Yarrowia lipolytica: one gene and its partner. The protein of the gene in region 2 purifies or fractionates together with the protein of the main gene of each other region. This does not show direct contact. Links are inferred from orthologs where the notes say so. Each region holds a gene or a part of one and is shown on either strand. Other genes may lie near its edges. The genes, in order: YALI1_C06041g and YALI1_E36179g.

Region 1 (17,187 bases), on a different chromosome or scaffold from region 2:
AGACAACAAGATAGTGAACAAGCTGACTCGATCGATAGCAACGTCCCCTCGACGCGCCCCCGTCCAAAATACCCATCTACAGCTCCGTCAAGGCCCTTTTCGAGTATCTCCAGGATCCTCAACCGGCCGAACCGTCTGCTCCAGCAACCCCAGCAACCCCAGCTTCAAGGACTCTCTGGTCTACAAACATGTCCACAACAATCGCCTCGCCTATGTCCACGCCGACCACCCAGGACCCTGGTCCAACCAATAACCCCTTCCGACACCTGCAGACCAACTACTCGCAGCTTCCCCGACATATGATCTCCCCTTCTCTGGACAAGTTTTCCGACTCCTCCAGCTCGTACTGGGGTTCGCGACGGTCCACGGGAACTAAGGAACCCGTAGGACTTGCCCCCGAGGTGCCCCAAAACGTTGTCGATGACGAACTGCAGATCATCGGAGCCCAGGTGCTGCGAGACGCGTCTCCTGGCGATGGAGACGACGAAGACAACTCGTCTGAACACACCACAGCCTCGACCAGTGGCTCTTCCACCGGCGGCTCGCCCTCCAAAAAGCACCAGCCCAACTGGCATGACTTTTACAAAAACGGGTACCCCGATGAAGTCATTGTTATCGACTCTGATAGTGATGACGACCACGGCGACGACGTCAACAACACCCAAGTGGCTCAAGTAGCAACTACTGCCACGACGTCAAAAACTACTATCAACCGTCGAATTTCGTCCGCCGCTGACCTGCCCGTCAAGCGACGAAAGTTCTCGCAATCGTCGACATCAGGCTCCACCACCGCTACCCACAACACGTCGTCCTCCGACCAGCAACTCGACACAAACACACATACAACACTCGACCAGGACTCGGACAAAAATCTGCTGGACGATGACGAGAACGACACTCCTCTGACTCCACCACCAAAGCTTCGTCGAAAGATCCCCGAGGTGTATGTTCGGCCTGTGGCTGACGCCAAGAAACTGTTGGCGTCTCAGTACGACGATAAGGACGGCCATTACGTGACCACGTTTTCGGACGTGTTCACCGAGCGATACGTCATTCGAAAGCTGCTCGGACAAGGCACTTTTGGTAAAGTCGTGTCGGCTTACGACAAACAGACTGACTCGCTATGTGCCATCAAAATAATCCGAGCGGTGCCCAAGTACCGAGACGCGTCGAAAATCGAGCTGCGTGTTCTCACAGCCTTGGCCGACTATGACGCTATGAACAAGAACAGATGTATTCATCTGCGCGAATGCTTCGACTTCAGAAACCATGTCTGTATCGTCACAGACCTGCTGGACATTTCCGTCTTTGACTTTATGCGTGACAACCGGTTCCAGCCCTTCCCTGGCTCTCACATTCAGAAGCTTGCCAAGCAGCTCATCAAGAGTGTGGCCTTTTTACACGGTCTGGGGCTTATTCACACGGATCTCAAGCCCGAAAACATTCTACTGAAGAAGGCAGCTTTCGTGCGGGTGGCCAACAAAAACCTGGGACCGTCGTCGATCCGCAAACACAACTACTACCGCGCACACGACCCCAAAAAGACGGAGCCCAAGACTCGTAACGTGCTCAAGGACACATGTATCCATCTCATTGACTTTGGCTCAGCCATCTTTGACGATGAATACCACTCGTCGGTGGTGTCGACGCGCCACTACCGGGCCCCCGAAATCATTCTCGGCGTGGGCTGGTCTTATGCCTGTGATATGTGGTCCATAGGCTGTATTCTGGTGGAGCTTTTTACTGGAGACGCCCTGTTCCACACCCACGAGGACTTTGAGCACCTAGCGCTCATGGAGGCCATTATCGGATACCCGTTCCCCAAGGCGTTCGTCAAGGAGATGATCTCCAAAAAACCCAGCGCTCAGGTGGGCAACTTTTTCAACGCCCGATCCGGCAAGCTCGGATACCCCAACAAGGACACCACCACGAGCTCGAGGCACTACATCCGAGATACTCTGTGTCTGACAGACTTGATCCACACATCGACGCAATCCACGAAGAGCCGCAGCGAAGGAGCCAACCCTGATGGGCAGTTCTGGGACCTGTTCCTCGACTTGGTGCGCAAGATGCTTGTGTTTGACCCCCGTGAACGAATTACTGCTCGAGAGGCCCTCCAGCATGATTGGTTCAAATGTGGGATTTCCGATGAGGGTAGTGTTTAAATCACAACTCTTCTGATACTAACTGAGGACGCGTTAGCACGGGACATGTGCCCGTCCTCACTTTTTTAATTTTATTGGTTATGGGATGGTTAGATTTATATGTAATTTAGTGTATTTATTGTTTATGATGGTGTGGGGAGTGGACATGTAACAGCTTCATGGAACAGCAGCAATTGATATTGATTTGAGGGTCATCTTCAACACCGTTCGTATCCAGTTACAATAGTCCAAGCAGTGTATCTGAGATAATGGGTGAATACAGGCATTGGTATGTACTTGTATGACGGGACGTAACTGTTGAACTGTTGAAGGGCTTTACTTGCCAAGTATCATAAGAACTGTAGGTCTCTGAAGATATACAAACAGGTTGCTAGATGGCTTGGAATGATGACAAACGATCAACTTCAGCTATTGGATTGACACTACATATCAGAGTAATGGTAACATCTGATGTTCATGTGTGCTGCCATTGACGTAATTGTGGAGATACACAGTTAGAACAGCTATCATGCGCTGATCGTTCACTTGTTTTTGAAACCAGAAGCCTACAATTTGTAAATGAGAAGCTTTACCGAACGATAGTCTCTCTGTCACTCGCGCCTACTTTCCTCCTCTAGCTACAGATCCTGAAGCATCCACATCTGCCAGGCTACGCCACAGCTAAGTCATTGTAAGGATGACGAACTATCATACAGTAAGACTGATCGCTTCAAATCATTACAAGCGAACAAAGAGCTTCAGTATTTCCATACTCTCCGTATCTGTACTTGTTTATCCCCACACTTGACCCATTCAGTGTGGAGTATGTACATGGCTACATCAGGCTTCTGGTCATTTTCAATGGCCGTATCCAACACACCTGATAAACATCCAATCACTGAAAGAATACCTCCAGAAGACTCCTTGAGCCATGTTCTACAAAATAAAATCTTCAGAAACTCTTCAAACCCCCCTCCCCGACATTTTCTCTATCGCGCTCTCCACACTCCAGCTATCTACACTCTAGGTTAGAACTTCCAATCGTGGACAACGCGGTTATGACGTAACCGGCCTAACGGCGGCAGTTGGATAAAGTGAGACTTGCGCAGTTGTAGGCCAAATGAGAGGTTACCAATGGTCACGTGAGCGCTTTTTCGAACCTCGGATTGGTTCTGGTCGAGTCTGTCTCGTGACTGGACTCCTCCACACCACATTGCTCTACCTCGGCCTATCATGTCCCCCAGAAATCAGGTGCATATTCCCTCCACACTTGTACCGACCAAAGTCTATATGGAACGTTATTTTCGGCACGTTTGAAATCGCTGTAGTGTGCAGATACACGGGCTATCAGGAATGCTCTTATATAAGGGACGCGATAGATCAACTGGACACTTGAAGCAGAACACATATACAACTTGAAGCAGCCCAAAATACCCCCTTTAGGTACGCAAACATACACCTTTGTTCTCCTCGGTAAAAACAAAGTTGTCCCCGGATATCAACCGAAATATTTCAGCTGCACGAGCTTCTCAACCTCTCTACGAGTACACAGACACACACAAAACAACTGCCAAAATGTCGCTAGCATACACAGTCAACCTGTTGCGGGCCTCCGGACGTCTCAACAAGGTCCTGGCTCTTCTGTCCAACGCCGGAACCCTGGATCCCACTCTAGCCTTTGTCGGGTACGGATCGCTCTTCGTGTGCGAGCTGCTGCGACTCGAGTCCGTGCAGATGGGCGTGGTGGTGGCCAAGGTTCTGCTTGGTCAGGTGACCGGTCTTGATATCGACGAGTCGTTTGAGAAACTGGGTCTGGCCTCGGATCTTACTGGCGTGGCTGACTCGCTGGGAGTGCTGTCTGGTCTTATCTCCGACATTCGAATCTTCAACCGTCTATGGGGTCTGGTTGGTCTCATTTCCTGGGGAATTTCCGAGTACGATGCCCAGCAGAAGCCCCTGGACGTCAACGACCCCTACATCAAGTACGACAAGGCTGTTCGAGTTATCACCGCCCTGCAGGTGTGGTCCAACCTCTTCTACCAGCCTCTGGAAAACGTGGCCTACCTGGGCATGCACAAGATCCTTCCCGTGAGCGACGCGGCCCAGAACTCTCTGTGGCTCCACTCCTCCAAGCTGTGGGCTCTCCATGTGGTTCTGGAGCTCATCCGACTCGTTGTGGAGATCAGACGAAACGTCAAGAGACAATCGATCGAGAAGAAGGCTGGAAAGACTACCACCACCACCGATACCAAGGCATGCAACTGCACAAAACTGCTGCCAAACTTCCTTAAGGGTCTTGGAGACCAGTGGTGGAGAGACCTTGTCATCAACCTGGCCTACCTGCCTCTCACAGCCCACTGGTCCATCGACGGTGGTATTGTGGACAACCTGATTGTCGGGTTCCTGGGTGCATCTGCTGCTGCCGCCAACGTGGGTTGGAAGTGGAAGAAGGCTCTGACTCCCGACGTGCCTGTCGAGAAGAAGATGCAGTAGGTGTATTCATAGAGTATATAATAGATAGATTGTTGGATTTTGAGGTAAGACAGTCTTAAGGAAACAGTCTTGTGCGGTGGGGACAATCTCGTACGGTTTTCGTAGTTACCAGCGTGTATAGTGGCTGTCTATTATTTTGTATATATATCACAACATGCCGCAACTGATGCGTTACTCATCAGCAAAAGAGTTGACGACCTCCGTCAAAAGCACCCCTCTCATGGCTTCGGGAACGTCCATGGAAACCATCTGGAAAGCCTCCATCACATCCATACCTGCCTCGGCACACAGCTGTTGTATCTGAGCCAGAGCAGCCACCACCTCTGGAGCCAGTTCTCCGTCCTGAGCCTGATCAGTTCCGTCATTCTGGCCTGCTAGAGTCACATCCGAAGCAGCAAACTCGCCGGAAGAGTAAACGTTGACGTCTTCTCGAGGAGGAACAGGATCATCATCATAGAGATCAGACTCGGCAAGAGGCTGGGCGTATTTCAACAGAGTGGGCTCTCCCGAAATGACCAGGTGACGTTTCAGCGACTCATTCATGTTGTACCAGTGAGCAGGTCCCTTGCTTCGGGTATAGTCAAATGCCACGGTATCCCAGACCTTGGTGAAGAGCATCTTGGGCTTGGGATCGTCCCACAGAGTTCGGTTTCTGAGCACATAGAGCTGTGACTGGGCCTCAATGGCCGAGTCGGAGCCGGATGAGTCGAATCGGTGGTTGTGTGGGGTTCCCAGGCTCTCGGCGAGCGTGTATCCGATCCAGGGGAAGGTCTTGATCGCTGTTCTGAGAGCTTGTTCGGCCTCAGCATCCTTACCATCAAGTAGTAAGGCGAGAGCAAGAGAGTAGCCTAGTTGAGGGGCCAGTTTTTGCTCTAACATGTACTTGATGGCTGTAGTGTCTCCTCCCTGTACGGCAAAATGGTCCATCATGTATCTGCATCCGTAGGGATCGTAGTCGGCATCGTCCAGAGAGTAGATGAGCTTGGAGAACTCGAGAGTGGTGTTCCACAATCCTCGTCGCGCCAGAATGTCAATGTATAGGTAGAGGGTTCGGTAGAATTGCCTGTTTTCAACGTACTTGAACTGGAACTTGGACTGGCCAAGAACGGCCTGTGAAGAGGTTAGTAGAGCTCGGTTGAAGACGTACAGAGCTCGTTCAATGAGGTCGGCAGACTCACTGCTAGCCTGACCAGTGTTGATACCGTTTCCAGCCAACTGGTTCAGAGTGGATACGTTGTAGGGGTACTGACCAAACAGATCGGCTGAATCTTGTCCGATAGCTCGTCTTTGGACAAATTGGAACTCTCCCTCGGCATAGGAGTCAGAATGTGTGAATCTGAATGCTCCTGGGTCAGCCGAGAGTCGGGCCACGCTCATTTCCGACTTGATCTGAGGGATCCAGTAGGGTTTGATGGTGACAAGGGTCAGCTTTTTAGTGGTTCCAGGCACACTTCGTTTGTCCTTGCCTCCCCAGACTCTGCTGAGTTTTTCCAAGTTCTTTTTCTGATTGTTTGTAAGCTGATTGGTAAAGTTTTCTGCGGTTCCGTCTTCATCCCACAGTCGGATGTTGCCGTAGATTCGCTTGATTTCGTGCTCGGGGTTGAGTAGAGGTGGAGACACGCTCAAAGGCGTAGTGGGCACTGCGTTTTCTTCCTTGCCCTTTTTGTTCTTTTTCGATTTTCCAGAAGTGGGCTCTTCGGTTGACCCTGTAGAAGCGGGTGCAGTCTTAGGAGCCTTGCTCTTGGCAGGCTTCGTCTGAACTGGTTTGATAGGCTCAGTTGGTCCCTGTTTCGAAGTCTCAGAAGTGCTAGAAGACTTGGAAGAACTAGAAGGCTCGGCGGAAGGCTCTGGAACAGGCTCGGGGGTACTCTGTGACATCTCGGCTGGCTCATCTTTGACACTCAAGCTCTGTACCTGCTCTGCCAAAGAAGCTGTGTCTGCAGGAACCTCAGCTTCAGCCTGTTGCTTCTGGGCGGCCTTTTTGGCGCCCATCATACGTCTCATTGCCGAAGACATATTGTGTGTAGCGGGTGTATGTGTCGATTGGCCTGTGTCGTTGTATTGTATGGTGAACAATATCAGATCATCATGTCGAGATGTCATACATGCATGGAGCAAGTTTGGGTTTGTTAGTAAGCTGATCCAGGAAAAAGATACAAGGAATGGATGATACAGACGAGGGGTGATTATATCAGGCTAACGCTCATTGATGGTGTGCGAGCTAGTCACTGATATAATGTCCAAAATCTTGTCGATAATGTCTCCGGTTGCCAATATTATGACCACAGCTATAAATGGTCTCTTGTACTAGAACAAAACCAGACACTCTAGCACAATACCTCCTCTCACTCGTATACACTCTCTGCACATTCCCACCTCTTTAAAATCACATAAATACATTGCTATTTGGTATCGGTCATGGCATGGTCTCATATACGTCGTGTACTATGTTACTGACATAGCTGTGCTTGGCAATTAGCCCTTATTCAGTCCTGAAAACTTTCTCGAGGCTGCAGTTTGATGATAGGGAATCCCACGTCGTCCACCTCCTCCACTTCCTTCTCGCTTTCATCGTCGGATCCCTTCTCAGTCTCGCTTCGGCCTCGCTTCTTTCGCTGTGGCATTGCTGCCAATGGCTTGTTGCGGTTCAAGCTGTATCTTTCCGCACCGATTCCCTTGTATCCCTTGACCTCTCGGTCCTTGTTAGCAGACCCCAGACCGAGTTCTGGAGCAGCAGAAAACGACTTGGTGATGTATCCTCCGAGAGATGAGGCAGGACCGTACGTTCCTCGCAGTGGGTTCTGCACGTCAGCAACAGGAGTGAAGCTCTCGTGTCGAAGCGACGCATTGTGATTGCCGGTAGTTTTGTGGCCGTCGGAAACGCTCTTTCGAATACCCATACCGACGGATGCCAGTTGATCCCTCTGCTCGTCGTCCAGGTACTGTTGGAACGAGTTTGATCGCTGAGCTGCGGGGGCCTCGACGGGCTGTTTCTGTTTCTTTCGTTGTAGCGACATGGTGTGGTTATTCTAATAGAAGGACGTTGTAGCTGTCCTTTTGTTGAGTGAGTCGGTTCGGTGTTGGTTGATGACTTGTAGTTAAGGTGGTGGAGTGCACATCAAGTTTATTTACTGTACTGTACTTTGGGAGTGGTGCAGTCAAGTTGCGCATAGTTTAATGAGTCAAGCGAGAGTCTACTGTGTATATTATGTGTATGTACTGGCGGCAGCAAAAAGTGTGCCTGAAAAATAATACCCGTGGCACCGGATAGCGGTGACACGTTGGGCACAAAGGGTTGGACTGAATTGGAGATCAACGAGATGAGTTAGGATTAGGGTTCCTGTGAATCAAGGGATGGCCTAATTGAGCCGCTAGGGTTGGGGGGTGGGGGTTGTATTAGTAATCTGAGTGTGGTTTGAAATGGTTGATTTTTTTTCAATTCTGAATGATGGTGAAAGCTTGAAAAAACCTAACCTCAGGGCTGAGGTCAGCTACAGCACGATTACTAATATACGTACTATGCTTGTACTTGTACTCGTGCTCCTCCCAAATATCTACCATAACATCGCCATTGTTTAAGATGTCAACTTTTGGTCTTTACAGAATGTCCGTCGATTAATACATGATATACCTGCCGTTTCAAGCACCGTTACCCGTACTCGTACTTGATCCATAACGCAACAGATGATGAACGCGGACGACGTTCTTAGGGCCTCACTGGCTACCATTCTCTACATTCGAGGAGTGTTTGAGAGCAGCTCCTACACGGTGTCTGTGACTCCAGACGGAGCCCCATACATGAAGTTTCTGAGAGGACATGATGGAGTGTCCCTTGTTTGTGATTGGATTGTGAGTATGAAGTTGTGTTACGGTCTGTCATGACCCGTGTAGACCAGCTATTGGCCAACATGCTAACTAGAACTATGCGTGTAACGCTTTTTCAACCGGAAGCGTTACCAGGTTTCTTATGGAGTTTTCACGGACGGATTCAGAGACTCTGGAGGAGTACACACTCACAAGTGACCAATTGCAGGCTATAGGAACCCACCCAGGTTTGTATTTCTCTTCTCTGGCTAAGGAGCTAGAGTCTTACAAGGATATGACCATGGAGGTGGACTCAGATAATCTGCTGGTTGTCAGCATTTCGCTAGAGTTTGTGGCGGGGTATCCTCAGCATTTGCAGCGAGCCTTTCGGGGGATTTTCCGGACAAACACCGAGGGAGGTTAGCGGGCTGTTTGTAGCCATTCAAGCTGCGCATTGCGAAGAACGGGATGAGGTCAATAAAAGCTGGTGGGAAAGTAGTTGTTTCCAGTGCAACTACTTGTTACCTGTTACCTGTTACCACTGAGGGGTTGATCTTGTCAAGTAATTGCATACCAGGCCCACCCTCGTGGTGTATCCCACTTCGCTCATCACCCCTGTGTATGTGATTTGATCTCTTTCTCAAACTTGCTCATATGCTTATTATCTGACAGGCACCTGAACCCCATCTGTTTGGTCTAAGAGGGTACGTCATGAGTGCAGTTCTCATCAGACATGAACCTATCTAGCTTGCTCTGCTGTTGCTTTATCTCTCGCTTGTTCGTATCTTCAATTTCAACTGGTGGACTTGTTCAATACACGGTATCTCTGTATCTCTTTGCTGTTCGGCATCCGATCACGTTTCACAATCACGGTCGGTTCGGTTCGCGGAGGTTAGTGTGTGCTACATTACCCCGCGCAGCAGTGCCGAGCGGCGGATTTCAGATCATAATTTCGCGAGCTTCTTTTAATTCCGGTCGTTGTGCTGTTACAGAAGAGATGTAGAGGGCGGTATCCGGAGTAAAAATGAGATTCAGCACCGAAAATGAAGATCAGGTATCATACCGTTTTGTCGAAGTATTTGGTCACAGTAGCACATCGTTTCCACAGTATTCACCGCGTCAGTAGCTTGTAAGCTGTTTTCAAAGTGTCTATGGTCGGATTCATAGCTGAAACTTAGTTTTGCGAGAGAACATGCTGTCACCGGAAGTAGAAAAGATTGAGAAAAAATAAAAACATAAGTAGGGTCTTCCCATTTAACAGAAAAATATTATGGATTTATATTTCCTCTATTCGTCGCAAAACCCGACTTGTGTCCCTTCAACAGACTTCTAAGCCGCACAACTCAAAAATACTTTATTCAAGTTAGCTTGATTGTTTAATTTATAAGTCCGGACTGAAATTTGAGCTCTCCAGAAATTCAGGATAGCTGTCCAGGACAAAATATATATCATTGTGATTAGAATTTTCTGCAAATTATTACTACTCATGTGAAATCTTATCCTACTAAGTATGAAGGCGTCAGCATCGACTCTCTATACACTTCCGAAACCTACCGTCTCTTCCGCTTCACTTCCGACGGAATTATAGTGCACGTTTATCGCATATCTCATGCGGAATATGCAGGCACCGGCGATAAAAATATGAACACTCTACAACCCATGAGACTCATCAGTACAAGCCGAGATCAAGAATGGGGCCATTTCGGGTGGTGAGTTGAAACCTGAAACTGTTACTTTGAAGATTCTCCTGTATATATATGTCCTCTGAACGTCTCCACTAGAATACTCACAGACAACATCTCAATCATCGTCCTACACCATGGAAGGATCTGTCTTCACCCAGATTGTCAACGTTGCAAGCTTTGGAAAGCTCTTTCCGTATCCTGAATTCCGACCAGACTACGTGATCCCAGACTTTGCTGCTGAGAACGACCCCGTGAAGAGTCATAGTGACATCTCCACAAACACTGCCGTCATCTCAGGATCTACAGTCGTTGTCACATTCACTAAAGATGACCCAGAGAACCCCAAGAACTGGGGCACCGCAAAGAAGGTGTTTGTGTCCGTTCAGATCCTGCTGTTGACTTTCGCCATGTACGTCGGGTCATCCATCTATACGCCGGCCATTTCTGAAATCTCAAATGACTACGGAATCTCCACTGTAGCAGCTATCTTGCCGTTGTCGGTGTTTGTCTTTGGATACGGAGTAGGCCCCATTGTTCTCTCTCCTCTTTCTGAACACCCTGCTGTTGGACGTCTCTGGATCTACATGGTATGTCAAGGTATCTCCATTTGTCTCATGGTCCCTCTAGCTCTTTCACCTAACTTGGGGGCCATGTTGGCACTTAGATTTATCATGGGAATCACCGTTTCTCCCGCTCTTGCAACTGGTGGAGCTACCCTCGGAGACCTGTTCGAAATTGCGTACCTGCCCTTTGCTCTGGCCTTCTGGTCCATCTCTGCCATCTGCGGTCCTGTCTTTGGACCTGTTCTCGGAGGAGTCTTTGCCCAGGTGCTTAACTGGCATTGGACTATCTGGATCTGGATGATCATTGCCGCTGCCGTCTTTGTTTTGCTCTTCTTTTGCTTTCCAGAGACGTCTGAACACCACATTCTCCATAAGAGAGCTAAGCGTCTGCAAAAGCTCAACCCCAACCTCAACTACACCACTGAGGCAGACGAGGAATGGAAGGCCATGAGCAACAAGGAAGTGGCTTACCAGATCCTATTGCGACCATTGGTCATCATCTTCTCTGAGCCCATCGTCTTCTTCCTGGACGCCTACATTGGTCTGTCCTATGCCATTCTGTACACCTGGTTCGAGGCCTTCCCCATGGTCTTCTCCGAGCTGCATGGCTTCAATCTCATCCAGACTGGACTCACTTATCTGGGACTTATTGTAGGAGGACTTTTAGCCGCCTTCGTCTACGTTCCCATTGTATACAAGACATTCACCAAGCCCGTCATCGAGACAGGTGAGTTCCCTCCAGTGGCTCTGTTCATGAAGATTGCTCTCATTGGAGCCATTCTCTTCCCCATCTCTGTCTTCATGTTTGGTTGGACGGCCCATAAGAACATTCATTGGATTGTTCCCACGATTGCAGGCATGCTGAATGTACTTGGCCAGTACTTCATCTTCCAGACCGTCTTCAACTACCTGAGTGGCTCGTACCATCGCTTCATCGCTTCTGTGTTTGCAGGAAACGGCCTGTTCAGGTCGGGTATGGCGGGAGCCTTTCCCCTGTTTGCACGGGCCATGTTTGTCAAGCTGGGTCCCGGCAACTTCCCTGTGGGCTTTGGTTGCACTGTCCTCGGGTGTCTGTCGGCTCTCATGATTCTCATTCCGATTGTTCTCATCAAGTATGGAGAGAGGCTCAAGGGTGGAAGCAAGTGGGCCAATTAGAGGTTGGTGGAGTCAATCTAGAGCTACTGTACAACTCACTACCAGTAGACATGCGTATAATGATAAATCAAGTGTTAACGAGGCGACTGCATAATGTTGGCGGGGTTATCTACGATACCGTATCAGACTACAGTATATAGGACTAGGGCAAAAGTAACAGAGAGGTACTGTAGAATCACAACCAGAGTCGCAACACAAAAACAAGTCAAACCCTGAGACTCTTGGCTCGTATAATTCTCCGATGTAATTCTTTCCTCGATTTAACACCCCCTGTCTCACAAAAGCGAAACCAGCCAACCAACGGAACACCGTCACATTTGCTGTAGACTTCCGAATGCAACAGCTATTGAACCCCCCACTCGATAGCTCTCTAATGAACCATTAATAAATCCTTAATAACGATCTTCGACTCGCCAAGAAGTTATAATTCTGGTCCACGAAAACTAGCCATTGCTATAGCTGGCTGCTAAGACCAACTCAAAAGTTGTTGCCGGATTTATGTTCCGTCGGTGAGACAGAGACATGGACGAGGCTGTAACAGCAGTAGCAATCACATGATCAAAAGCAGTTGTTCGTACTGTAGTTGTAACTCAGGGGTGCCCTCAGATACACGCTATCGACCGCCCACCATTCAAAAGCGCACTAAAAGAAGCTATCTTGACGGGCAGAAAAAAGCCGGATTGGAGATCCACCCAACTTTATGTCGTCTGGGAGGACCACAACACACACCCACGGACGGAGTGATACAGCTGTCAGGTATAGGAGGAAGATGGGCTCATTTATCGTTGCAAGCATAAATGGCGGTTAAATGTGCAGGAGCAAGTGCTCACAGGAACGTCTATAGGGTGTTCCAGATGCCACCATAAGTACGAGGAGGAGAAAGACTACCAGTAGCAGCTACTGCTGTTGTACATGAATTCCGAGTACAGTACCAGCAGACTGGTCCACTTGGGTCTAAGTTTTTCTGAGACAATGGGCCGGTGGGAGAAAAGTACAGTGAGACAAGAGTAGGGCCTCCGACAATTAAGCGAGTTGTTTCAGGTGCAAAAGATAAGATGGTGATTGTTGGGGAGAGACCCAAGGGGGATAAACAGGAACCAACATGTGGAAGGCCACTAACAAGACATCCAATAGGTATTGTTCCTGAAAAATAGCCCTTCAACACAACAAGTCATTGTCTTCCTACGCTATATCGCTCTCTCATACAAACAGCCTCGCTCCAATATCCACCTCAGACCACGGCCGCCCAAGCCAAGACTAAATGCAATTACCCGCGCCCGAAGAAGAGCGTGGAGGTGGATGGCATTGGTCTATTGTGAGACATCGGAGTAGCACAAGCCAGAACAGGGACAATGTAACACTGGGGGAAACACAGCGACCCCTCTACCCCTCCTACATGAGATCGGCATCAATTAATTAATTTCCCCTAAGCCATCTTTCACCTGTCCCTACATGATATATTTGCTTTTCTCTTTTCTTTCTGTTCCGGTTTGTCCATGGCATTAGGTTTAGGTACATGCATGTGTACGGTGTGCACGGTGGAGATGAGAATTTGAGAACGCCATAAAACGCCCGGAAAGAGCCTGGAACGCCCTGAAAAGTACCAAGAGACTTACATACATGGTCAAGATCTGATTTCCAAATTTTCAGCCCTCAAAATTGCCCGCAAACCTCCTTCAGCCCCTTATCCGCTGCCCACCCTATATACCTCCACCCAACTCTATCGAGGTGGAGGATCTACAAGCCCCCATAGATATATACCCTGCGACCCCTGTTGTGATCCATGGCATGCGACTGCTAGACAATGACACTTTCTGGGGCCAGATAGTGTACCTGTTGTCCCGTCGACGGCTTCTCAGGTACCCCGAGGAGGAGCCCGGCTTCGTGCCGCCCACCTTTGGGGATTTCGGGGTGGAGGCCGTTGAAGACCGCGACTTGGAGCAGCTGGAGAACGCCAAGCGGCAGTGTGTGGATTCCGACGACTATCTGCCTTCCTCAGACACCTTTGAGTCCGACAAGGGAATGATCTATGTGAGTTGGTACGGACCTAATGATGCTGCCAATCCCAAGAACTGGAGTCTTCTCAAAAAGATTATCACGGGTCTGCAAATGGGACTGCTGGTCGGTTGCATTTACATGGGCTCGTCCATTTACATGCCTGCCATCTTGCAGTTGGAGGCTGAGTTCCATATTCCCGAGGTGGTGGCTATTTTGCCACTGGCAGTATTCGTGTTTGGATACGGAGTAGGACAGACATTGTTTTCTCCGCTCAGTGAACACCCGCGACTGGGACGAATGTGGATCTACAATCTCACCCTGCTCGTATTTTGGGTCCTACAGGCCCCTACAGCTAAAGCCAAGAACATTGCCTCTCTCACAGTTCTGCGGTTCATCTGTGGAGTTCTAGCGGCTCCCTCGTTATCGATGGGAGCTGCCACAATGGGAGACATGTTTGAGATGCGCTACATGACGTATGCTATTGCTTCATGGGCCTTCTTCTGTTGTACTGGCCCTGCCCTGGGACCTCTATTAGGAGGAGTTTTCTACTTTATCAAAGACTGGCGATGGACCTTCTGGATACTGGGAATGGTCTCATGTGGAGGCTTCATCATCCTCTCTCTTACGTTACCAGAAACTTATGCCCCCAACATTTTGCATAGAAGAGCAGCACGTCTCAGAAAACTCACAGGTAACCCCAACTACACCACCATCTACGACGAAGAGTATGCTCAGCTTTCAGTGAGTCAGCTGGCCAGAGAGTTCATGCTACGACCCTTTGAGATTGCATTCACCGAACCCATTGTTTTGGCTCTGGATGTTTACATTGCCATGCTCTATGCTACTCTCTACGTCTGGTTCGAGGCCTTTCCCTTGGTTTTTCACCAGATCCACCACTTCAACGCCATTCAGTCGGGTCTGGCATATATGGGACTCATGGTTGGAGGTCTTCTTGGGCTGGTAGCATACTGTTTTACCACTTATTGGGCCTTTGAGAAACGTGACGCAGATATAGAAACGTTTATGAAGCTGTGTCTGATAGGAGCGGTCTGTTATCCAGTATCTGTCTTCATCTTTGGATGGACTTCGCATCCAGACATTCACTGGATCGCTCCTATCATCGCCTCGGGTCTCAACATGTTTGGCGCCTTTTTTATCTTCCAGACGAGCTTCAACTACCTTGGAGGCTCCTTCCCTCGCTTCATGGCATCTGTGTTTGCAGGAAACGGTTTGTTTCGAGCATCGTTTGCCGGAGCTTTCCCTCTCTTCTCAAAGGCATTGTTTGTCAATCTCCAGACCGATCCCAAGTGGCCGGTTGCCTGGGGATGCACTCTTCTAGGCTGTATTGGAGTGTTGATGATCATCATTCCTGTGCTGCTCATTATTTATGGAGGACGTCTCAAGGGAAGAAGCAAGTATACTGGACAGTGAGCGCCCAACCACAATACTAACAATCACACAAGCACACACGCGGTGCTCTACAGTCATGTACATACATTTTATTTATAATAGATGTTCTGAAACGATCGGATGATGGTGCAGTACATACTGATTCATGTACATACATTTTATTTATAATAGATGTTCTGAAACGATCGGGTGATGGTGCAGTACATACTCTTCTTGTAGGACAGCAAGGCGACGTCTGGAGGAGTATGAATGTCAGAAGGAGTGGGTCAGAATACTAGACTGGGCTCCAAAAATAGAATATTGGATACAGACATGATACAAGTAATATGTAACCTGATATAAATAGAACCGATCTACAAGTTCTCGTATCGTACTGATATTTGTATTGCGTTGCGGAAGCAAATTCATTTCATCGTACATCTCCGCGGTTGCGTTCTTGGCAACATTTGTGGCTAAAAATAGTAACCATTGGAAGAGGCGCTACTCGAAGATAGTGCGATGGAGCAAATCAGGTCCAAGCCCCTCGATCATGGCCATTGACCCTGTTAGGTGTCACTCTTTTCGTTTGCTTCTATCTCTTCTGGCCAAGCCCATAGCCCGATCACCAGACCTCACCCCACGTTTCGGCTATTTTGTTGGACATTGAATGTTCCATGCAGCCAAGTGGTTGTTGAAACCGGGTTTGGAACACATACAACGGTTACGGCAGAAGAGGGGGTACGGCGAAAGGGCTAATATTGAATCCAAAGGGACAATGAGAGAGACATATTAGATGTGATCTGGGAGCGAGAGAATTTACAGGTTGTGTGTACGGCACCAATGTATGTAGTACACTGTACATACGAGAGTACTCTTTTTGGTTGTGTGCTACAAGAACAGTATGTGCTGACTCGAACTCGCACAGTACTGCCAGAATATAATTGCCAACTCTTGGAAGCTTCATTTCCGCTTCTGTCTGATTCGTCATATGTTGCGTTTTATAACAGTGTCTCATTCTCCCCGTGTTCGTCTCAGCCTTCCACACAGATTTTAGACCTGCGGAAACGCATCAACTCCCAATTCTGTGTGTATAATTTCCGGTGGTGTAGACTGATGGGGGAGGGTCTGGGAAGGACCGGGTGAAGGCCCAAAAATCGCGGTTTTGGGCGCAGCGGTAGATGGTCAAAAACGCAGACGCCGCCAATACTCCGGTAACGTCGGCCAGCCGCCAATTACAAGTATCGCCCAGAGCTGGTGACATCACTAATCATTCAGGAGATAATATGACAGGAAGTCAAAAAGTTCCAGACAATGAAAAATCTAATCTGCTTGGCATGTGACACGCTAGGATATGCGTCGGTCGAAGAAAGAAACAAGAACCAGAGAATGGAACGAAAGAACGACGGGGACAAGAAAGAGACCAAGAGACGGTGGGTGGATGTGAGATATCGAAAGGTCGACTTGCCAAGTATCGCACAATATACACACATTGATCGCTGTTGTATCGCCGCTATTGTCCACACTCCCTAACACCATCAAACTCAAATGACGGTGTAAGACTCTCCCCTCAGCCGCATGGCCAATTTGGAAGCAAGAGTCTTGTCCACCAGAGTCGTGAATGTACGGCCATGTACGTACGTACGAACTAGGGTGGTGGGACGCATGCCAACACGTAATTCACGGGCCACAGGAATCTTCTGGGGTATAATAAGCGACAGGCGAATGCTAAGCTCCTGTATTCAGGGGTGGGACCTGGGAGATTCTGGAGTATGGGGCTCATGTACAACGTAGGTACTGTACGGTACGAGTGGCTTTGAGATGAATACATGATGTCATTGTCAGGGAGAGGGAGAGAGAAGTTGCGTCTAGAGAGTTACCGTGGTTGCAATGCAGTATCGTACAACGATGAACAGTAAGGACTACGGTACAGTGCGTACGTAGGCTCCTAAAGACAGA
Region 2 (15,458 bases):
AGGTGCAGCTCATGTCTGAGCAGAACCCCGACAAGGTGGTCATGTTGACTGCCCCTAACATTTCGCTTCGAATCACCTCTGCTATTGACGAGTCGGATATCGATGCTGACTTCAAGGGAGTTGTGGAGAAGCGTCATGGAGTGCAACTGGAGCATGCCAATTTCTTTGTTCTGGATAGGGAGGCTGTTCTGAACCGGTCGGCGTTCCTCATGAATAACAACAACTACGGTTGTCATCGCAACAGTCTTTGGCCTCCCTGGCTGGCAATTGAAATGTGCTATGACGCCACTGCTCTGCGAGATGATGTTGTTGTGTCCGATGCTACTGTTGGTCTTCGATACGACAAGCCCAACACACTGCGTCTCAAGTCTCTGCAGGAGTCTGCACGTGAGGCTCGCTGTACTGAGGACGAGGAGAAAGAGGCATTCAACCGTTTCAACCGAATCGAGGTCGACTTTCCCAAGGTCACGGCCTACTGTACTTCCGAGCAATACTTTGCCATCTACACCATTGCCATGGATCTGTTGCTGTATTCTGAGCCCATCAAGGAGTCCAACAAGAAGGCTATGGATCGAATGCTCATGACTTTCGATCCCAAGCGTCTGCATTCCGCTCCGGAGACCATTGAGTGTCTTCAGAACGAGATGCGACGTCTGCGAAAGATCCGAGATCTGATGCAGACCCAGAAGGACGGCAAGAAGGACGTTCGACAAATTGACGTCGAGCTAGCGTCTGGATACCTCGAGCTCTTCACAATGATGGCTGCCACCACCAAGATTCTCGTCACTTCTAAGGAGACCGAAGATTTCACTGACACCATGAAGTGGGCCATTGGCTCGGATGAGATCATCTGGCACTTGCTGGAAGACGACCATACTCCTTTGGTCGACTTTGGTATGGCTTCTCCCTCGTTTGTACGATTCCAGGAGCCCAACGGAGCCAACACCAACTGTATGGAGATCCAGATGATGCAGGGTTTCAACCTCAAGCCCAACGCTCCTTACCCAGAGATGCTTGGTCCGTTTTTGGATGGTGATGTCAACAAGAACCGTCGAAACGCCAAGCTCAAGAAGCTGGACGAGCCTGCTCTTGTGTACGCGGCTTGGAAGATGCTGGCTCCCATTGGTGGTATTCCTGTCATGGAGTTGTTGGAGGTTCAATTGCAACCCCTCAAGCTTGCTCTTGACCAGGACACAGCCGAGAAGATGTTCTCCTATGTCTTTCCCAAGAACAATGACTCTCCCTTCAACGTGCATGACCCCACAAAACACAAGACCATGGCTGATGCTGTTGCCATTTACGCAGACAGCGACAATGGCAGTGATCTGACTGGGGGCAATGAGTCGTTGTCTTCTTCTCTAGCGTCTCGTCTAGACGCATCTCCCAACAACCGATACCAGGTTGTCGGTGTGAAGATGCCTGGTGACCCCGACTCTCCCTCGGCTTCATCCACCCGAAAGTCGATGGAGTCCGACTCATCCGACGAGTCATCTTCGGGACGGTTCAACATTTTCCGCAACCGACGACGTCAGGATGAGTCTGACGAGGGAACTCAGATGATGGAGCGAGCCTCCGAGTACACTTCCATTGTGGATATTCGGCTGCACTCTGCTGTCATCTGCATCTCTCTCAAGGGCCACGGTACCAAGGCCCTGGCCGACGTGCACAACTTTGTCTTCACCATTCCCGATCTTGTGTATCAGAACAAGACGTGGACCAACCTGGATCTGGCCAATCAGGTCAAGAAGGACGTTATTCGGGCTCTGTTGCAGCATACTGGCTCGCTTCTTCGAAACAAGATCCGACCCCACAAGAGAGAAACAAATTCCGCTCCTTTGCGACAGATCTCTGAGTACACCAAATTTACTGCTGTGGATGATCTTCGGGCTGATAAGGACTCTAACGACCATCAGAACGGCCGAGCTGGCCTGGAGTCGAGAGCTGGTACGTTCACTCAGCCCTCGTCTGCTTCTGTCAGTCGAAAGCCTTCCACCGATTCGTCTCTTCGAAAGGTGACCACTTCCAAGAGCAAGGAGTCCAATGGCAAGGAGCATCGAAAGAGCGGCTTCTTCCATCGATTGAGGGAGTCTCTATAAAGAGAGAATGGATGATACGGAGGTTAGAGAGGGAGGATAAAGAGGATAAAGGAGGATAAAGAGGATAGAGGAGAGATAGAGGAGGATAGAGGAGAGATAGAGGGGAGATAGAGGGGACGTTTTTGTATATTAATGTTATTGTATTGTAATTTGTTTTCTGTTAGCAGCTATCTGTATAGAGTATTATGTGCTGGTAGCAATGTGTGGCGTTGTATTCAAATTCACCGTTACACCTCACAATATAACCCTGTAACTCGGAAATCTTAATTGACATACTGTCTATCATGGTGGTGTGATCGGATATACGTATAATTATACTACTGTACTATTGAAATCGACGACGGCCAGTGTCCCGACACACAATTGAACTGATGCGGTTCAGACTATTGAGCGTTCTTCTGCTCGCCGTGACCACCACGTGTGCCGTGTTCGCTCTCCTCTTTCTCACTGGCTACTTACATCTGCAGATAGTCGACACCACCCGTTCGTTTCTGAACAAGGGGTCAAAGGGAGTGGACGTGGAGGTGGAACAGGATATTTGGAGGGAAATGAAGACTGCACAATCAGCAATTGCACCAACGTTAGTTCCACGTCCATCTGGTCACGTGGCTGCATTCGATTACGACGACGACAACTCTGCAGGGCGAGTGAGGTAACGATGCATGAATGGTGATGGCTACAAGTGTCGTAGTACAGAACAAGTACTCGTACTGTTTAAAGATAGAGAAAAGAATGCGTTGCAGAGAATACAGTATAATATTATTGTTTGATGTGTCTGGAGATGTCTTTGAATTGCTGCTACACAGTGTCCCATTGTTCACCTCTACAGTGAAAGATCTTGCAAAAGAGTTAATCTTCAACTCAATCGGGTTAGTATGATCTGGGAAAACAACAGAACATATTGTAGCTATTGTACAAGTACAAGAAGCTGTTGCTATGAAGGCTCATATAACTTACAGTACACACCTTGACACAATTCTGTTGTCAGTCAAAACCATTTGTTGTTGGTTTGTGATACCTCTGTGCGAACAACACTGAGCGTCTATAAAAAAAACAGACACCTGTTTCTGCTGGTCTCGATTTTCATAATTGACTTGCTAATAGTTGATAACTGCTAACTACAGCGTACTCATAGTTGACTGCTTTCGTTTAGAATGTGCAACAGTTGGCGAAGCCAAATGACTGAAATGCCAGCGATTGTGGGATTGCCAAAATATCAGAGCATGTGTCTCCTGCACTGTACACCTTTGCTAATATCCCTCGTAATCACAAGTGCACTGCAGCATGTTCTATAGCAAATACCCGTGACTTGCTACTTTTACACCGTATTTCGCTCTTAGTATGTTAACATGGCTTCAGGTATATTGCTACTGTAAATTCAGTTAGACACGGCAATTGAGACACACAGGTCAGGGATGGGACATACAGCAGCAACAGTCTCGACTGCAGGCCAAGCCTACACTCCCTCGTAGAAGTCTCCACGAGTATCTATCTATCGTTTAACAGCTTCTAACGGGCTTGCACCTTTTCTCCGTCCTCTTTTGCGTCAATTGAAAACCACTCAGAATCCTGATTACAGTAGAGCTACAAGTACCTTTCTGCACTTGATCATCGATTACATGACCAAAGCACTCTCGGGTCTCACAGCAATTGACTTTGATCATCCCTTTCCAAGGTAGACTTTGTGATTTGATACGGGCAGGCTGTCATTCTCATCTTCGTTCTCGTGTCCAGACTATAGTAGTGGCACTTCTTATCACATTTATCACACGTTAGTCTAGACCAACGCCACTTTAACCGCCAGAACTCTATGACATCATCTTCCCCACTCATGCGATATATCAAGCGGCCCTTGAACCTTGTCACCAACCCTGCCAGATCCCTCTTCACTAGCAAAACGCTAAACATCATGAGTTCGAACGGTACAGACAGTGCAAACGGTACAAACGGCGCAGATGGTCCTTCCTTGTCGCCCGAGCCTGAATTGTCCATGAAAGTCATCAAAATCGCAGGTACTCCCTACAACATGGGCTACCAGCACGGCCAAGCCGTCCCCCAGTTGGTCAAGGGCACTCTGGACTTCTACAAGGCGTTCCTGACATCCTGGAGCGGTCTCTCGTGGACAGAGATCCAGCAACACGCCAATGGCTTCGTGCCCTATCTGCAGCGGGAATGGCCCGACTTCTACGCCGAAATGGAGGGTATTGCGTCGGGTTCCGAACAGCATGTGGTGGACATTGTGTGCCTCAACGTCAGAACCGAGGTGGCGTTTGGTCTGAGTAAGGCCTTCAAGAAGGGAGCTTCTACAGCCCCTGAGGCGGCCTCAGACGGATGCACCTCTCTAGCCTGGGCCAAGGACGGAAGATCCATTCTGGCTCAGAACTGGGACTGGATGGCCCCCCAGAGGAACAACCTCGTGGTGCTCCAGGGCACCCCAGATAACCTGCCCCGGTTCTTCTCATGCACAGAGGCCGGTATCATTGGCAAAATTGGTTTCAACGAGTACGGCGTGGGTGTCCTGTTGAACGCCATTGCTGCCAAGGGAGTCGACCCCACCAAGACACCCGTCCACGTGGCTCTCAGAAACGCACTCCAGTTCAAGACTACCGCTGAGGTCGTCAAGGATTTCCGGCTCAAGGGAATTGCTGCTGCTGCCCACATTCTGGTGTCGGATGCTTCTGGAGACGCCGAGGGAGTAGAGTCGTCGGCCTTTGATATCGAAGTCTGCGAAAAGGACAACATTGGTGCTGTCGTGCACTCCAACCATTACCTGAAGGAACACAAGGACGTGGAGCACTTTATGTTCCTGCAGTGTTCCCCCGACCGAGTAGAGAGAATCGACACACTGGTCCATGACCTGGCCACATCAGGTGCCGAGCCCACAATTGATAATGTCCAAGCGCTGTTCTCCGACACTGAGGGCGAGCCCAAGTCCATCTGCAAACCTGTTCAGACTACTTCTCTTGAAAAGAGCACCACTCTGTTCAATATCACCATGGACCTGGTCACAAAGAAGGCCAAGCTCATTGTTGGGCGGCCTGTTGATCCTGAGGGAGAAATTGACCTTGCTTTTGAATAGTGCCAGCTTGGTCTAGCTTTATTTAATCAACACCACTGACTGAGAGAGATATGACGTACATTATTTATTGAGCAACGTTGTAGACATCTTCCGGTGGACATTTTAGCCCACCCCCCGAAATCACCACACGAGCCCATCAGTCTTGCATGTCACATGCACATCGAGGTATCTTCAATACAGCTTTATCGGCAGTGCCACTGGGCATGTATGAGACGTTGGTACAAGTATATGAACGTCTTATAACCATGGGTAATAGTAATGAGTACTTGCAGTTGCCTTAGTTGTCTCGCAGTGTGTGTTGTGGTAATACCAAATTCAATAATAATAATAATAAATAATAATAATAATAATAATAATAATAATAAAATAATAATAACATCGCCTCTACGACCTTAATGCGCTTCTAAGCGCTTCTCTCTTCTCTCCTCCCTCTGTGTCCCATTGACGTCACTGTGTTAGCTACTGTACTGTACTTGTACTGATATGCACAACCGCGCTGCAACTCATACAGTGACTATCGTACTCGTACTTCTCATGGAACATCTATAGAGCTTCTTACAAAAAAGGCTGAACTAGCTCTGAGAGCTGGTTTAAATAATCAGCACCAACACCTCATCATTCTTCAGTACATCCCTTACTATGTGTCACCCCCAACCCTCTGTCTATCCATGTTCTATCTCATGTCACTTCCATCACGTGAACACACGGCTCAGAAACACTTCTTCGTTGGTAACACAAATAAGGTTTTTAACACAATGGTTGAAGGGGGATAGAAGTAGATATTGATGGAGAAGTGGGGATTTAAAAATGAATAATATGAATAACTCGCCAATTTCCTTTTGATTTATGTAATTATTTCCCATTAAAACTGTCCCCATACCCCTCCTTTCGACACACCGCCCAGTCCCACCGATGCACCTTATTCAGTCTCTTCTGAGTGGTCACGTGAAATTCCATTTTGGGAACGCAGTCACAAACCCAAACGCCGACCCACTCTGGTTTTTACTTTGATCACTGGAATTCTCTTTCTATCCAACGACAACACACGACTAAAGGTGGGTATTGACACGACGGTGAATGAACAGTGGACGTAACGGTGATGGCACAGACGACCCGGCAACAACACGAGGATAAGGGAAAAAGTTGATGTCAGAACATGTCTGTGTTTCTGGTGCTCTCATTTTGAGATCCCACAGAGGATTGAGAAATCAGCACACAGAGATAACATGAATTGATGCGATAAGATATTATCGTTGGTTGACCACCTATGTCTCTCTATGTGTTAGGTTGTTTGAGTGATGTTGTGGTTGGTTGATTGGAGCGTGGTTGTTGCATGCAAAAAACTTCATTCTCTTCTCTTCTCTTCTCTTCTCTCCTCAGCGCTACACACGCACCACACCACACGCACACTGTAAGGACGAAACAGATACCAGATATCTCTAGACTCGAAACTAACACAGATGGCCGCCTCTAACCCCCATCCCAAGATTGTCAAGAAGCACAGAAAGGCTTTCAAGCGACACCAGTCCGACCGATTCGACCGAGTCGGCGAGTCCTGGAGAAAGCCCAAGGGTATTGACTCTTGTGTCCGACGACGATTCCGAGGCACCATCCGAATGCCCAAGATCGGTTACGGTTCCGCCAAGGCCACCAAGCACATGATGCCCTCCGGCCACAAGGCTTTCCTCGTCTCCAACACTGAGGAGGTCGAGCTTCTCCTCATGCACACCAAGGTCTTCGCCGCCGAGATTGCCCACAACGTTTCTTCCCGAAAGCGACTTGCTATCCTCGAGCGAGCCAAGGCTCTCGGTGTTAAGGTCACCAACCCCGCTGGTCGACTCTCTCTCCAGGCCTAAGTTTGTCACTCTGTGGCTAACTGAAAACCGGTTTGGTGGACACACCAGACTTAATAAAATTCTTGTATCATCGCATGTGAATGGCTTTTTGTCTTGTATCTTGGAGTTGTTAATTGTAGATATTTGTAGTCTCGATTTTTATTGCTCTACACATTATGTCTCTAGGCTGTATCTCTGTCTCTCAAAAAGGAAAACTTTTCTTCCCACGTGAGCTCTCGTTGAACCCGCAACTTTATTTTGTTGGAAGAAGGGGTACTTTAAGATAATTGGTGCATAGAGAGAGTGAGTGATTAATGATATTTTTTGCAGCATGGAAGTGATGGAAAGTATTCAATATTCTTTAATCGACATAGATACTTTAAACAGTATAGACAGCCAAAAGTGACACTTCTACATTGTTGGGTATCATTTTGATGACTCTGTATTGTAAGTTTCTAGTAGTCCTAACTAATATTTTAACAACTGTAAGGAATATATTAACTAAAAGTCAACGAATGGTAGCCAATGTTCTAAGTTTGTGCGGCTGTACTGTAGTCACGACTCCTCCAAGTGAGTTCCCTGTGCTCATAATACCACCTGAGATACTCCTATTTCCGCTGTACCACTACGTACACTCTACAACTCGATACTACAGTCATGCATCTTCATTAGGTGGCTAATTTACATCTTCTCTGCATCACGTCAAATACGTCACGTTCCAGTGCTGCTACGTCGTCTCTCAACACTGCGCTCTGTGAGACCCTTTCCAATTCTGCACAAACTCTTGGACAGCACCTTGGCCATTCCCCAGGTGTCTAGAGCTGACAGAACATCCGCCCAAAAGTATGCAAAGCCTCCAGCGTAAGAGTAAGTCAGCATGTCCGACACTCTGTTAGGCTCTCCATGACGCTTGGCAAGCTCATGGCAGCTGAGCTCGATTCCAGAATCAATCAAACTCGTCTGCACAGTGTTCCATAGTATCAGCTCACGTGTGCTGAGGTCTCTTCCAATTCGCTTTTCAATGGAATCGATCCAAACGATGAACACCAGACAGATCTCAAAAGTCGAGACAATGTTCTCGTCGATCATACCAAAGGTGAGAGGCTTGAGCATGAAGGACTGGAAGATCTGAGATCCACAGAGAAGAGGCACGTGAAACAGCTCAAAGCACTTTTCGATGATCTTCGTCTCGGTCACCATCAGCTCTTCGCAGTGAGACAGCTCAAAAGTAGCTAGGCTGAGGGTTTGACGAGGGGGCGAGTGGAGCTTGATCGAGGACAAAATTGTGAGAATATGACCCTCGAGAATCATGGGATGGGCACGGAAGAGAGACACGGAAGAAACAGTAGAGGGGTTGATGGAGGACTCGATAATGGCTCGAATCATGATCATCAGGCGCTCACTGGCAAACAAATCAACTGTTCCAGAGACTGTAGGGGGCAACTGTTTGCAGCAATGTTGCCATTTCAACAGCGCTCGACCTAGATGGCCCGTATAAGATCCATTTTGAGAAAACTCGCCACTTCCATCTCTGCTGGTGTTGTTGGCACCTTCCCGTTTCTTCAGTTCCCAAACTTCGAAAAACAGAGCTGTACCGAGAATTCGAAGCCCATAATGACTCGAACTCGTGTCTCCAATGCCACAAAGAGCCTCCAGACTCGATCTGAAGGTTTGGGGAGGTACAGTCTGCGAATAAGCCTGCAGCCACTCCTGCTCGGACGAAAACGAGGCGTTCCACAGCGACTCTGAGCACGGCAAAGTGAGATTGGGACGCACATTGGCGTTCCAGATGGCTGGCCCATGGTTGAACAAGCACGTCATTGTACCGTATAGTACAAAGACGGCGAAATACGTACGTCTGGACGACTCCTGCATGATCCAGTTGCTCCACCCAAACTCCAGGTTTTCCACCTCCACTACTCGCTGAGTAACGAGGTTAGAAAGCAGGGTCTTTGTGCCTTCGACGAAATTCAGACTGGGCTCATCACCAACTCGCATTTCGTACGAGACGTTGATGAGCAGGGTTTGGGTTGCCCAAATAGGCACGGGACTGGCCCATGACATTTCACTCTGTTCGAAAACAGTGCGTCTCAACGAACAACTGAGATCGTTTAGTTTTTTGGACATTTCGATTTCAGAGGCAAACAGAGCTCCCATGGCACACACTGCAAACAAAAGAGCTGGGGAGGCCGTTTGTGGGTTGAACGACTGGGGATGGATAATGGGAGTCGTCATATGATAGCATGTGAAGTACACAGACAGGTATCTGTTAAGCTGGCCTTTACTTGGCAGAAACCGCAGCCCGCTCTTTTTGATTTCGTACTGAGACACTGCCGACAGGAGTGTCGACAGAGGAGGCGAATGAGGTGCAAACTGGGGGATGACAATAGGAGCAGGGGGGGTTTGTGGTGGTGGGTGACCGCTTGTTGATGCTGATGGTGCTCCTGTTGCTACTGCCACTGTTCCTGGGACTCCAGTCCCTCCTCCTACTCCAGTTCCACCTCCTACTCCAGCAGACGCTCCTGTGGTTGCCGCACTGGCTGATAAAGGAGGCGAAGGCTGGGCAGAAATGGGGTCCGTCTTCATCCCAAACGTTTCACTGGCACTTCTCACATGCATGGACGTCACGTGCTGTTGGTGTGGATGCTCTCCGTTGGATCCGTCTCGATGCTGAGCCTCTCCGAAAATGGCATTGTTGATGTTGTCGATCCCTGGAATGTTGACGTTCTTTTTGCGGCCCAGATCGGTGATGAGATTTGCCGCAGACAGCTCCTGGTCGTACAGCATGTCGTAGTTGAGAGGAGACGGGTATCTGTGTGGATACTCGTACTCAAACTCGCGTCCCGCAGCTTCCGCCAGCGTGCTTAGCGATTCCTTGTCCTGTGTGTTAGGCGAGCTGGTGTTGAAGTTTCCAAACATGGACATGTCCACTTTTCCGGGCTGTTGTTTGACGTCTACTGGAGAGTGTTGCGTGTGTGCTGGCGAGTTCATAGCTGGGTCGTGTCGAAGTGGAGGCTCAGGCTTTTCATTGTTGTTGTTGCTGTTGTGTAGATGAGATTGGATACCATTGTGGTTTGGCGGCAGTTGCTGGTGTTGTAACTGCTGCGCGTGTGGGTGTGGATGCTGTTGGGGTTCAGGTATGATTGACTGTTGGAGCTGGGGCTGCATCGGTTGACCTAGAGACTGTTGTGGTGGTGGTGGCGGTGGCTGTTGATGTGGCTGCTGCTGCGTGGCAACCTGCTGGGCCACCTGGCCTACCTGACCCTGTTGAACGGACATTTGCTGAAGCCCACTAACTGAGGACTTCCTTCGATCCTCCTTCTTCACCTTGTTCTCATTGTGCACTGTTCGGTCGTGTCGAAGCAGCAGATCTCGTCGTACAAAGCTCGAGGTGCACTTCGTGCACTGGAACGGCCGCTCCTGGGTGTGGCTCCGCTCGTGGCGAGTACGATGCTCGGACCGCGAGAAGGCCCGGTCGCAAAACGTGCATCTGTATTTTTTGATTGGAGCGTTCATGATATGATCTTTGGAATTAGGACTCGAAAAAAGACTTGTAAAAAGACTTGGTATCAGTCTGGTGTATCAGACGAACTGTACTGTGGGCGTGTATCGTGTGTCTCCCTTGTGTCCTCCACCTCGCGTACTCGTGTGTGAGTCGCTCCGTATCAGCTGGTGTTTTGGGCTCGAAATAACGTCGCTTGGAAGTCGGGTCAAGACCACTGTCCAGCGCCATTAATTTTTCTCTCTACACCACCTCTTTGCCTTTGCTTGTACCCCGCACGACAAGCCTGTGGGGAAAAAATTCAAAAGTTGTAACAAAGGGAACTTTAAGCAGCTATCCCGGTTATATCCCTTTTTTTGTTCCATCTCGCTTTGGGCTAGCTACTTGTCGCAGCAGCGCAGCGTCCTGGGCAGCGTTCAATTGGAGGGTGTTTTGTACCCCGCCCTTAGTCACTGAGATTGGACGTGCGCGCCCCACCACCACCCCGCTCAAGTTCAAGGCATTATTCCCGAGTCGCTTATGACGTCTGTCTTCGGAATATTCTATCCGAACTCTATCATTCGAGGTGAGATATTCTACGAGCACCCTGCTGGCCTGGCTCGTTTGTAGAGCAGAGGCGGCTGCTGCTGTTGAGTAGACCACCGACGCCTAATTGTTGAAGCTCCAGTAGCGTGCGTTGTACTGGTTCTGTTCGCTCATCTAATGATGTTGTACCACCCATCCTTGGCCCAGCGCTACTTGTACAGTAGTGTCTCTCCTTCTCTTCTGTCACCTTTTTTTCCGCTGGCCCTGACTTGACACTTGTTCCGCGCCCCCAGCCGCCATTAGTTTGGGCTTTGTTGTGCATAACGTTGAGTGGAGCCTTGCAGCGAGGAAACGATGAGGCAACGATGATCTCTGGGGAAGGATCGGCCCGTAGACGGTAGATGTGCGAGAGCCCCTCGAATATCAGCCGACACATATTAATTCCACACGCTGGGTCCCGCCTTCTCCGCCACCTCGCACTGGTGCACGCAGTTACCCCGCCCCCGAAACAACGGTACGACCCCTCTTCTATAATTATCCATGTTGCAAATCAAGCCTGGGAAACCACATCTCCGACGCTTGCCCTCCTGCTATTTAACTCAGCTGGGTTTGACAGGCAACCTGTGGAGTGCGACTACAAGTAGTCAAGCTTTGGGGAGACTCGACAGAGACTCTACGTAGCAGACAAGGGTTGGCGTATGGAAGAAGGGTAATAGGCAATGGGACCTCTCGAATGCGATTGATGCTTGATAAAATAATTCTCTGCGTCGGCACAATGGCGGTGCTCGTATTCAGCAGCATAATATTCGCTGTCTTATACTGACACTTTCCTGTATAGAGTCTTGCGCGTCCTACGAGTGCTTGTACATACCAGCCAGTACTGTAATTACAGTACGTACGTTGGAGGTTTCTGCGGTTTTCTAGCACCTCGCGAAAGTGTTGATTTTGGAGATGCATAATGACGACAGGGAGAATGGATAGAATTGCTGCCAGCATGGTCATTTGGAGTCAAGTTGCGCGCAGTTCAAACACGTGATACACCCTCCTTGTCGTCCACTCGCCCTTCTGCCCCGCTGTCACGGCCACATGCCACCCTTCCTACTCCGGCTCGTATACGGCTATGCTGCGCTAACTTGCACTGACGTGTTTAGAGGTGTCGTGGTACAAGATGTTCGCTACTGCCACCTCTGAAGAGATTCATCTGAAACCTTATCCTCGCGACAACAGAGTTCGGTTGAAATTGCAAAGCGCCCCTACAAGTAGCGTTTTGGCGGCAGCCAACAGCAGAATAGTTGAACCCATGGACTATGTCTTGCACCTCCATGGTGTAGAGTGCCAGCCGTGTTTTAGAGTGTTTTCGGAAGGGAGCATCACGTAGACACAGGTTGTGCAGTTCCGTAATCACCAAATTGTCAATACAATCAGATGAGGTTACTGTACTTGTACATACATACTCCATTTAAGCAACATAAGAACAAACAAATCACACATCAATGTGAGATGTGACGCAAAGACAAAAGATCACCATCCAACATTGCCCATATACCCCCTAGTTTGGCAAACAAGACGAGGTTCTTCCTCAAAATGACCGAGAACCTCCCTACCCAGCCATCCGCGTCAGTTCGCTGAAATAGTCCAAAACAGTCATCCCCTAACCCTGACACAGGGGTCATGATTGTCACCATCCGACAGAGACGATAACCGTCAAACCATGGAGCAGCAGATCCAAGAGCTCGTGGTCAGACGTATTCAATACATTGAATATGTTCGGAGAGTGTGAGTACCACGAAAAACACGCGCTAAGAAAAGCGCCTTTGGTTCGACACTGCCCCACGCGAGACACACACGATATGGCACACGACAGACCTCAGCACAGCAGTATGAACAAGAAAGGAGAACAAGCCAACTAACACAGCCACTCCGGATCTCTATACTGGCTCAACTCGGTACATCTGTCAAGGGACGACATCGAGGCCATGCACTACGACAACAACGCCGCCCAGCATCTCTTCTGTCTAGGGGCATCTCTGCCGCACATGATTGTTTCCAACACGACTCAGCAGAGCTACCTACGCTCGTTTCTGGCTTTAATGAAGGAGTTCGAGACATTCTCGTCCGCCGAGACCACAAAGCATCGACTCTCAGGCGTGGGACGGTTCTTCCGGGCCAAGACCAAGAACGACAAGAGTGAAGAGTCCTCAGCGCCTGTGGAGTTCACACATCTCACAATATACAGACTACCGTTCGTACCAGACATGTACGAGACCTTTGGGTCAGTATGTGCCATCCTAGTGGATGCATACTCCAAGATCCTGGAGCTGCCAGGAAAGGCCCCTGATAGCTACGAGATGCTGCTAAGACTAGATGAGCGCGTGAAAAGAGGAGTGCTGGATGCATTTGTCAAGGACGTTGACGCAATGTCAAAAAATGTTGTGAGAGACGAGGCCATGAAGATCGAGTCTCTTTTGGTCAACATTTGATCGACCACAAGACAACACAACTGCGAGTAATCGCACACTGGAGAGCATGAGCTCCCGGTGTTTATATATTGGAAAGGGTACTTAATAGGGTAATATACAGCTTCGATCTGAGATGAAGATGCACGATACGACTACAAGTAGTTGCAGCACCACTCTGACTTGTGTCTTAAATAAAGACCCTGAGGCCATATGCATTATGAGTATAGTCTGGTATAATAAGGGTAGGTCTGATCATAACGAGACAGCCCCCAAAACTCCACTGACGTTGAATGCCTTGGAGTCGGTAACATGAAGCTTCTTGGGCGATCTGTAGTCCACCACCATGCCCCACACTGTGTTAGTATTGCCATACGGTTGCATCCGTTCCGTCCTTCTCGACTGTACTCACCGAAATATGCAGCTCGACGGCCAAAAAACTTGCCGATGAGGGGAATCAGAACAAAACTGACCAGCTGTTCCAGCTGCCGTAACGACTCCTCCCATTGTTCCTGGGCGTCTGAGTATCCGTCGTCTGAGTAATCGCTGATGTCCGAGAACTCCGGCAGATCATAGACTCTTCCGCCGACCCCTTCTTGTGCAAGACGAGCTGCAACGCCCTCTCCGGCGACAGAAAAGTTCACATCTCCTATTTGGCTTGCCACGTCCACCATTGTGTTGTGTATCGTGGTTTGACGTTTGGTTGGGGGTGTTGTGGAGCACAGTAAGGTTCGGTGATAATGATGTGGAGGAGCAACCAGCTGGCACGTGTGGTTTTGGTGTAGTATTGGGTGTGGATGGGATAACAACAAGTGAAGCAAAAATGTGTGGCAAGGAGGGTTTATGAGATAAAAGCGAGTTTTTCAATATCCGTAGCCACCCGTTACATGTCAGTAGGGTGGATTATTTCAGTTGTTGATATTCAAGTATTATGTCAACTAGTGATGTAAGTTAGTTGGAACTGCCAAGTGTTGTGTAAAATACTAGTGTACCGTTACGAAGTGCACATATAATGCCATTACGCGCAGTTAATCAAACAATAAAACAATCAAAATGATAATAAGATAACCCAGATTATTTATCACTGTTACAGTACCTCACTTGTTCATTCCCTCTCCCCTTTGAGCAACATGTTCGTCACACGTCGCAAAATACGGTCAACATGCACCATGCAGTAAACTGCAAAGTTTTGAAATTTTGTGAAGTGAAAATCTCCATCCATCAAAGTGCTCCGACGACTAATTTCCCGAGCAAAAGTCGCCATGACCGACGCCGACAAGTACACAGTGATTACTGAGGGCAAGGCCAACATTCTCTTCCCCAAAGAGAACCAGGTGTTTTATAACCCCGTTCAGCAGTTCAACAGAGACCTCTCCGTCACTTGCATTCGGGCCTGGTCTGAGATCTGGGCCGAAGAGAAGGCCAAGAAGAACAAGAAGCGAAAGCGAGATGAGAAAGAAAATGAGGAGTCTGGAAAGCCTCACATTCCCGAATTCAACATTCTTGAGGCTCTTTCTGCTTCTGGTCTGCGAGCCATCCGATATGCCAAGGAGATTCCTGGTGTCAAGAACATCATAGCCAATGACTTCTCCAAGGACGCTGTTGCTAGCATTGAGAGAAACGTGGCTCACAACAAGGTCGAGGAGCTGGTCACCCCCAACGAATCCGACGCCAACCTCGTCATGTACGGCAAGCAGTTCCAGGTCATTGATCTTGACCCCTACGGATCGGCCACTCCCTTCATTGATGCTGCTGTCAGAAGCGTCGATGAGGACGGCCTACTTCTGGTGACTTGTACCGACCTAGCTGTTCTAGCAGGAAACTCCCATCCTGAAAAGTGCTTTTCTTCCTACGGAGGACAGACCTTCCATGGAGGAGATGCCACACACGAGAGTGCTCTCCGTCTCGTCTTGCATATGATTGCCGGCACCGCTGCAAAGTACGGCAAGTGCATTGAGCCCCAGC

Evidence for each region.
Region 1: the proteins of YALI1_E36179g (region 2) and YALI1_C06041g purify together in Saccharomyces cerevisiae (affinity purification with mass spectrometry; 3 studies listed by BioGRID). This does not show direct contact. The link is inferred for Yarrowia lipolytica from reciprocal best matches to the Saccharomyces cerevisiae genes RPL32 and RQC1.

What each region holds. Positions count from the first base shown.
Region 1 is NC_090772.1:593,685-610,871, reverse strand, and holds YALI1_C06041g (uncharacterized protein), read right to left. Parts: upstream 6,741-17,187; coding exon 4,809-6,740; downstream 1-4,808. Other genes in the region: YALI1_C06106g (uncharacterized protein), read left to right, coding at 189-2,165; YALI1_C06071g (uncharacterized protein), read left to right, coding at 3,720-4,637; YALI1_C06032g (uncharacterized protein), read right to left, coding at 7,124-7,654; YALI1_C06023g (uncharacterized protein), read left to right, coding at 8,322-8,486, 8,557-8,865; YALI1_C06006g (uncharacterized protein), read left to right, coding at 10,261-11,844; YALI1_C05972g (uncharacterized protein), read left to right, coding at 13,633-15,273. UniProt on the Saccharomyces cerevisiae protein: Component of the ribosome quality control complex (RQC), a ribosome-associated complex that mediates ubiquitination and extraction of incompletely synthesized nascent chains for proteasomal degradation.
Region 2 is NC_090774.1:3,609,076-3,624,533, reverse strand, and holds YALI1_E36179g (60S ribosomal protein eL32), read left to right. Parts: upstream 1-6,635; coding exon 6,636-7,031; downstream 7,032-15,458. Other genes in the region: YALI1_E36308g (uncharacterized protein), read left to right, coding at 1-2,096; YALI1_E36206g (uncharacterized protein), read left to right, coding at 3,907-5,175; YALI1_E36140g (uncharacterized protein), read right to left, coding at 7,722-10,526; YALI1_E36116g (uncharacterized protein), read left to right, coding at 12,749-12,813, 12,953-13,517; YALI1_E36103g (uncharacterized protein), read right to left, coding at 13,712-14,167; YALI1_E36098g (uncharacterized protein), read left to right, coding at 14,756-15,458. UniProt on the Saccharomyces cerevisiae protein: Component of the ribosome, a large ribonucleoprotein complex responsible for the synthesis of proteins in the cell.